Arabidopsis thaliana: one gene and its partner. The protein of the gene in region 1 purifies or fractionates together with the protein of each later gene. This does not show direct contact. Each region holds a gene or a part of one and is shown in the gene's direction. Other genes may lie near its edges.

The links.
Region 2: the proteins of AT1G06790 (region 1) and AT3G28956 fractionate together in Arabidopsis thaliana (co-fractionation; one large-scale study listed by BioGRID). This does not show direct contact.

Annotation. Positions count from the first base shown.
Region 1 is NC_003070.9:2,084,931-2,088,858, forward strand, and holds the start of AT1G06790 (RNA polymerase Rpb7 N-terminal domain-containing protein), read left to right. Parts: upstream 1-2,251; 5' UTR 2,252-2,434; intron 2,435-2,712; 5' UTR 2,713-2,714; coding exon 2,715-2,825; intron 2,826-2,928; coding exon 2,929-3,024; intron 3,025-3,371; coding exon 3,372-3,459; intron 3,460-3,630; coding exon 3,631-3,715; intron 3,716-3,835; coding exon 3,836-3,905; intron 3,906-3,928. Other genes in the region: GAUT6 (galacturonosyltransferase 6), read left to right, coding at 1-149, 295-652, 786-1,307, 1,648-1,923.
Region 2 is NC_003074.8:10,980,936-10,984,863, reverse strand, and holds the start of AT3G28956 (RNA polymerase II, Rpb4, core protein), read left to right. Parts: upstream 1-2,158; 5' UTR 2,159-2,292; intron 2,293-2,443; exon of another isoform or gene 2,444-2,622; 5' UTR 2,623-2,677; intron 2,678-2,678; exon of another isoform or gene 2,679-2,826; intron 2,827-3,270; 5' UTR 3,271-3,394; coding exon 3,395-3,402; exon of another isoform or gene 3,403-3,482; coding exon 3,483-3,600; intron 3,601-3,676; coding exon 3,677-3,829; coding exon of another isoform or gene 3,830-3,904; exon of another isoform or gene 3,905-3,928. Other genes in the region: AT3G28960 (Transmembrane amino acid transporter family protein), read left to right, coding at 101-619; AT3G28958 (Cupredoxin superfamily protein), read right to left, coding at 1,332-1,429, 1,564-1,689, 1,774-1,951, 2,033-2,158.

The DNA of each region.
Region 1 (3,928 bases):
ATCAGAGACAAAATTATTCAAGCTAAAGCCTACCTGAATTTCGCTCCACCTGGAAGTAACTCTCAAGTTGTGAAGGAGTTGAGAGGTCGGCTGAAAGAGCTGGAACGGTCTGTTGGTGATGCAACAAAGGACAAGGACTTATCAAAGGGGTAAGCACAACTGCTTGATTCAAAAGGAGAACATACCATAATTGCATTCAGAAATTTGCTGTTACAACTACAACCTTTTAGTGCCAAAAGTCGTGCTGTTTAAGAATATTATTTTAGTAACCTCTGACATGATTGTTTCTTTCAGCGCTCTCCGCAGGGTGAAGCCCATGGAAAATGTGTTATATAAGGCTAGTCGTGTCTTTAACAATTGCCCTGCCATCGCTACCAAACTCCGTGCCATGAATTATAACACAGAAGAACAAGTTCAGGCGCAGAAAAATCAAGCAGCGTATCTAATGCAGCTTGCAGCAAGGACCACCCCAAAAGGGCTTCACTGTCTCTCAATGCGGCTGACATCAGAATACTTTTCACTGGATCCTGAAAAAAGGCAGATGCCTAACCAGCAAAATTATTTTGACGCTAATTTCAATCATTATGTTGTCTTCTCTGACAATGTTTTGGCTTCTTCAGTCGTTGTTAACTCTACGATATCTTCATCAAAGGTATCATGCATTTCTTATACAAATTTCTACTTGGTTATCATTATATGTTATACCTAATTTTAGAGTGTCTTACACTATATCTTCTCATTTACTTCCGCCACTTATTAATGTGGCTTCTGATTGCTGTTTGCAGGAGCCAGAAAGAATAGTCTTCCATGTCGTGACTGATTCACTTAATTACCCAGCAATCTCAATGTGGTTTCTGCTAAACATTCAAAGTAAAGCTACTATCCAAATCCTAAACATTGATGATATGGATGTCCTGCCTAGAGATTATGATCAATTACTGATGAAGCAAAACTCTAATGACCCAAGATTCATTTCTACACTCAATCACGCACGCTTCTATCTCCCGGATATATTCCCGGGTTTGAACAAGATGGTACTCTTGGACCATGATGTAGTTGTTCAAAGAGATTTAAGTAGACTGTGGAGCATTGATATGAAAGGAAAGGTGGTTGGAGCTGTAGAGACTTGTCTTGAAGGTGAATCTTCATTTCGATCAATGAGCACATTTATTAATTTCTCAGACACATGGGTCGCTGGGAAATTTAGTCCTAGAGCTTGCACATGGGCTTTCGGGATGAATCTAATTGATCTCGAAGAATGGAGAATACGGAAGTTGACTTCTACATACATAAAATACTTCAACCTGGTACGCTATATACACACACACACTCTACTGCACTTGCTCTCCCTATGGAAATAACACTGTAGCCATATTCAAAGTTTTCAAATGGGTTCTTAGATTTGTTGATTCGTCATTATATATGAAAAAGATTGTAATAATTATTAGGTTTTAGGTTGGCTATATCGAGGATGAAAGGTTTTGAATTTAGAACACAAATAACATTGCTGTAACTAGCAAAGAACATAAGCAAGCTAGTGCTAAAGATCATCTCCTAGAAGAAGAATGGTTACAAGCAACAACATATCTTGTCTATGTAATGGGCGTAAACCTAACAATGGTTTTGGGGAATTTGTTTTTTTGGCAGGGAACAAAGAGACCATTGTGGAAAGCTGGGAGCTTACCAATAGGTTGGTTGACTTTCTATAGGCAAACATTAGCATTGGACAAGAGATGGCATGTGATGGGGTTAGGTCGCGAATCAGGAGTCAAAGCGGTTGACATCGAACAAGCGGCAGTTATACACTACGATGGGGTCATGAAGCCGTGGTTGGACATTGGAAAAGAGAATTACAAACGTTACTGGAACATACACGTCCCTTACCATCACACCTACTTGCAACAGTGCAATCTTCAAGCTTGATACGAAAAAAAAAAAAAAAAAATCTGGCAACTTAGGTTCAGTTTCAGATTCTTTTTGTTAAACAAGCTACTCAAGCATGATATCAATGTTATGATTAGCTTCATTCTTTATCCCACATCAGTGTATATCTTGGTTCTTCTTTTTTCACACTTTTCATCAGAGCTTAATATTACTTAGACTATAGTGACAGGCTGACAGCAACAGATTGTTGTCATACCTTGGACTTGGCCCAATTTCCTTTTTTGGCCCACCGGTATGAATAAAAAGAGTGCGGTTTTCAGTTCGGTTCGGTTTATAAGCGTAACGATGACAAACCGATCGGTTTGTTTTAATTCTTGACTTTAATAACTAAACCCTAAATCGTTCTTCTTCTTCCGCATCTTCCTCACTCGATTAGTAGGTTCTCTCTTCTTCCAATCTATTCCCAACTTCTCACTTTTCCGTCTAATCGTTGTCTTCATCACCATCTCTCCGAGTTCCCTTCGAGACCATCTTATCTTCAATGGTTTAGGTATTGCCCGATTTTAGATAGTTTTGTTCTCTCGTATAGTTATGACAATGGCAGATTTTTGTACGCTCTGCACATGCTTAATCTTGAGGATTGGGCTATTATTACGTACTATGATTTAATGAATTTTAGATTTGAATTTTGGAACTTTTGATGATATGCATGTTAATGACCAAGAATGCTCCGAATTTGTCTGATTCGTTATTCGAATTCTACTTCTTTGATTGTTTGTTTCCAATTTTCCATGCATCTGACTTGTGAATTTTGAACAAAATTTTCAGAAATGTTTTATCTTAGCGAGCTAGAACATTCACTAAGAGTGCCTCCGCATCTACTTAATCTCCCTCTCGAAGATGCCATTAAGTCAGTGCTTCAAAATGTGTTCTTGGACAAGGTTTGCTCATTGCCCTTTTTCTTTCACTTTTATGGTATCCATTGTTTGCTTATTTATATACACACCTGGCTAATTTTATCAAAGTGGATTTTTGCTATGAAAGGTTTTAGCTGATTTGGGGCTTTGTGTATCTATTTACGACATTAAATCAGTAGAAGGAGGGTTTGTGTTACCCGGTGATGGTGCTGCGACCTATAAGGTATATCCAAATTGCTGATCTTTTCTCATCTCTATTCTTTTATCAGTTGAACATGGTTTTTTATATCAATTTTATGGCCTCCCAATGTCACTGTTAGTGGCATCATTGTTGACCTATCACCGTGTATTGCACACTTTCTGCACTGTATTGAGTTACATCTTTGTAGACTCATCATTACCGTACTAGAGTTTCAAACCATTCTGAGATTTTGGTTCTTCGGAATCGTTATCTGTTAGTCTAACTTTCACTGTACGGTTTTGGTTAAGAATTTTATTTTCAAAAGTTTTATCTTGCCTTGATTCAATATCTCATGTCGTGTTGTTAATACTTTGTTTGTGTGATTGTAGGTAGGTCTTAGAATTGTTGTGTTCCGTCCATTTGTTGGTGAGGTCATAGCTGCAAAGTTCAAAGAATCTGACGCCAATGGCTTGCGCTGTGAGTACTTTATTATACTGTTCCCTGAAGAATTCCAATGTTGTGCACTGTCTGCATCCTGCTACTCTAGTACATTGTTAGCTTATTAGCTACTTATGAATTGGATTAATACTTTGAAATCATGGATATGGTTAATCATTTACATGCTTACGGTACCTCTATACTTGGCAGTAACACTTGGATTCTTTGACGATATTTATGTGCCTGCTCCACTTATGCCGAAACCCAACCGCTGTGAGCCTGACCCTTATAATAGGTAAGAATATGTGTCCTGCAGTTTATGTAGTACTACCAGCTCTCCAACTATGAGTAGGAGATTGCACCAACATCTTTATATATCATTTGATCACAAAGTATAATGTTTTTTGGTTCACAGGAAGCAAATGATATGGGTGTGGGAATATGGAGAACCGAAAGAAGACTATATTGTTGACGATGCCTGTCAGGTGAATTTTTGGTTCCTGCATGT
Region 2 (3,928 bases), on another chromosome or scaffold:
GTTTGTTTCTGTTTTGTTCGCTTTTCTTATAAGATTTTATTTTCCCCAAGTCTAGTTTATTGAAAATGAATAATGTTAACTTCACTCTTTGTTTGTGCAGGTCCTACTAATATGTTTTATATTATGCACCATAGGATACACATCAATGGCAGTTTTGGGCTACTTAATGTATGGATCACAAACATTATCACAAATAACACTGAATCTTCCAATTCATAAGACGAGTTCGAAGGTGGCAATATACACAACTCTCGTAAACCCGGTAGCCAAATACGCACTGATGATCACACCAACCGTGAACACTATAAAAGATTGGTTTCCTTCACGGTACTCCAAAAAGGCATACTTACATCTCTTGATAAGCACATTTTTCATCATAAGTAGTGTCGTGATCGCCGAGACACTTCCCTTTTTTGGTTATATGATGTCGCTGGTTGGAGCATTATTGAGCGTTACGGTTTCTATACTTCTGCCTTGTTTATGTTACTTGAAGATCTTTGGAAACTACAAGAAAATTGGGTGTGAGACTATAATGTTGTTTGGAATGGTAGTGATGAGTGTTTTTGTTGGGGTAATAGGTACTTACATTGCACTTCGAGATATAATTGGTAGTGTATAAATGTTTTGAGAATTATGAGGGTTGTGTTGTCCTAAATGAAGTTTTTTTAATACCCCAAAAAGTGTTAACTTCAATTCATAAAAGTTCTTCCTTTTAGGTACTTACATTGCAATTTCTAGCTCTATCGAAGTGTTGGAAACATTTGAGTGGTTGGTTTTTTATTTCCATCAAAATCTTTCTTATTTCAGTCTTGCGTTACACTTTACTTAATGTTTTCTTTTGTAAAGCTTCTCAATGCAACATTATAAATTTGGTTTCAATGTTGTTGAAGGCTTAGAACATGAATCTTAAGATGACATTCTTTCACATTATTATGGTAAACACTATGAATTGGTTCCCATATAGCAATAAAGATACTATATATATCGGAAAAAAAAAGAACAAATTCAGTGCCTAAGTCATTGGGATATTAATTACTGATGTTCATACATGTTTATGCTTCAATTATGTTTTAAGGAATCGGAAACCAGATGTAATACTGATTGAATCAAACCAACTCTACAACTATGGGGAAAGAAAAAAATACATTCGAAACAAAAGTATTAAAAACGTTAACAAGAGAAAGAGGCTTTAAATAGCTAAATCTCAAGCCAAACAGAAAGCGAATGCTTAGTGATGAGATTGAGGCCTGTAGGTGTGTAACCATCTGTTGAAGCGGTCCATAAGTGACAATTCCATCTTCGTTGTTGGAACATTGGGGACAGTTATCGGCTTACAGCCTTGGTGAGTGGCCCGACCACGACTTGTAGCTTAAGTCCGGCCTCGCATTAGACAGAAGGCATTCCAAACTCGGACCAGGCAGTGTGGTGGCTCAATTCTATCTGGATCGAGAGAAGTCCACTTTATAGCGCCTCGGTGCGTTCCTACCGAGGCTTACCGGATCAGCCGATAAAGTATATCAACAACAACAAAAAAAAAAAAAAAAGTTCGTGCCTCGGATTGACTTGTCATTGAGGTAATGAAGTAGTGGACTCCTGGTTTGGTGAGCTTCACAAGATCATGCCCTGTCTTGTGCATCGCCACGGGAGAAGTTGGGTCGCATGATATGAATTCAAGGTCTCGGCTGATCTCTAAGATGTCGTTGCCGCATTAAAAAAAAAGATTATCTCCAATATCAAAGTGTCTTTCCTCTGCCCACTTGAAATAAAAATCACTCTCTTGAGAAACACTCCATCCCTTGGAGTCACCAACTTTGTAGATCTTGCTCGGTGGTGGTGGAGGAATGGAACGTGACGGGTCATATTCGACAAGAACGTTATTGTCTGGATGTGCATTGTTCACGGTTTGAGCTGATGAAATAGATATAGTTAGAGCTGTCAAATGGTCATCCGACTATGGGCTAAGCCCAATCCAAAACATTATGGGCAGTCCGTGGTCAGCCCATAAATAAAACGGGTCATGTAGTTTATTGACCAATTTTGTCCGCAGACATAATGGGCGCCCATACGGACAATTGGGTGGCCCAGTTTCATTAAAAATTAGTTTCCTCAGAAATCGCCTCTTTTTGTCTCCTCTCTGTTGCGGCTTCAGAATCGCCATCGGAAGGTTGGACTCATCATCGAGACGGGTCACGAACCGGAGCCCCGTTTAGTTTTCGAACTCGCTACCGATTCCGAGTTGTACGAGCAACAATCATCATCATCGTGTTGCGTGTTTATCCTTTTTGGTCCGAGGTGAATTTCTGAAACAATCTTAGTGTTCTTAGTGTTTCTGAAACAATCTTAGCTTTTTGGATCAGAGGAGAGCTTGCTAGCTTTATCGGTTAATGGATCATATTACCAAGTTAATGTCATTCTCATTAATTTGATAAAAGATACAATTGAGGGTTTATATACAATTGTAAGAGGCCTAAACCATAGCCATTAAACCGAACTAAACCAACACTATCTACACTGGTTTATACAAAATACCAGTTCACAATGACTCACTAAGACTCTAATTACAACAGAGACTCTATATACACTAATAGATTGAGGTCTCACATCTTCTTTGCTTGTTCTTAGGGTCTTCATGAATTGAAGCACATCAATATCTTGGTCGAAAGATTCCCCCTTTCAGGTATGTAGAGACCCTTTGTGTTGAAATCTGAATTTGATTCCATAGAGCTAAGATTCATCACTTTTGATATGGATTTTGGACTCCAAAGAGATTCTGAAATGAATAGGCTCAGTTTTTGTATTGGATTTTCTCAGGTCTCTATCACAAAGGTGCTCATCGATTCCTCTGTTTTTTGTTTTCTTTTGAAATTTTCTTTTATGATCATTGGATTTTGATACCATTCATTACTGATCATTGATCGATGAGTATGATCCTTCAACTTTTGGTTTTTGGGTTTCATCGGATTGATGCTTTTTATCTGAAAGGTTGATGCTTTTGCTCGTACATTAAACAATGCTTTTTATCTGAATTGTATAGTTTTGTGATGTGTATTAGCTTATTTAAGTTTAGTTAAGCTGAAAGCATTAGGATTATTCTACATATGTGTCTGACTTGGATGAATTGTTTTATATGAAGACACTGAAAGTGATGATTATTTCATGATAATCTTGATTAGTAAACGTTATTGATGTTGATGTTCCCATTGCATCATGATTTGTGGGAACGAGAAATCATCTGTTCCTTGATGTTGATGTTCCCTTTGAATTTTTCAGGAGCAAAAACTCTGATTTTGGAGTATCCTTAGTGTTGTTCTCTTCCCATATTGTAAAAACGACTTCGTTTAATTGAAGGAAAAAGCTTCTTTTTGGTTTAAAGTCTCTCTGCTCAACCTAAGAGATGAAAATGTATAATCCATCTTTCATTATGTTTTTGTTCGATTTCCTTCTCTGTTTTTGTAGTCAAAATTTGGTGTGGTTATTTGCAGAATGAAGGCAAATGCAGGAGCACTTACCAATTTCGAGTTGCTTGACTTCTTAAACTCAAGAGGTGCTTCAAAAGATACTACAAGAGTTATTGCTCCAATTGCTAGATCAGAATACAAGGTTCTTTTGCCTGCAATAGTTATCTTCTGACTTGGTCTTAGAGTTTTTTTTGCTAATTGGAATGATCTATTTATAGGTCTATGATTATTTGGTGGAGACTGCTGCTTCCACTCAAACACGAGAGAGCGTTAACAAATCCGCAGACAAGTGTAAAGATTTCAAACTCGCTAAAGCTGAGATTCTCAATATCATCAATCTCTGGCCTTCTTCTATAGTCGAACTGTTACCGGTTTGTTTGTTGTTTCTAGCTTATACACTACCATTTATATCACTGCATTTAACTTCTCTTCTTCATGGTTTATAACATTTGTTGATTGTGACTCTCTTG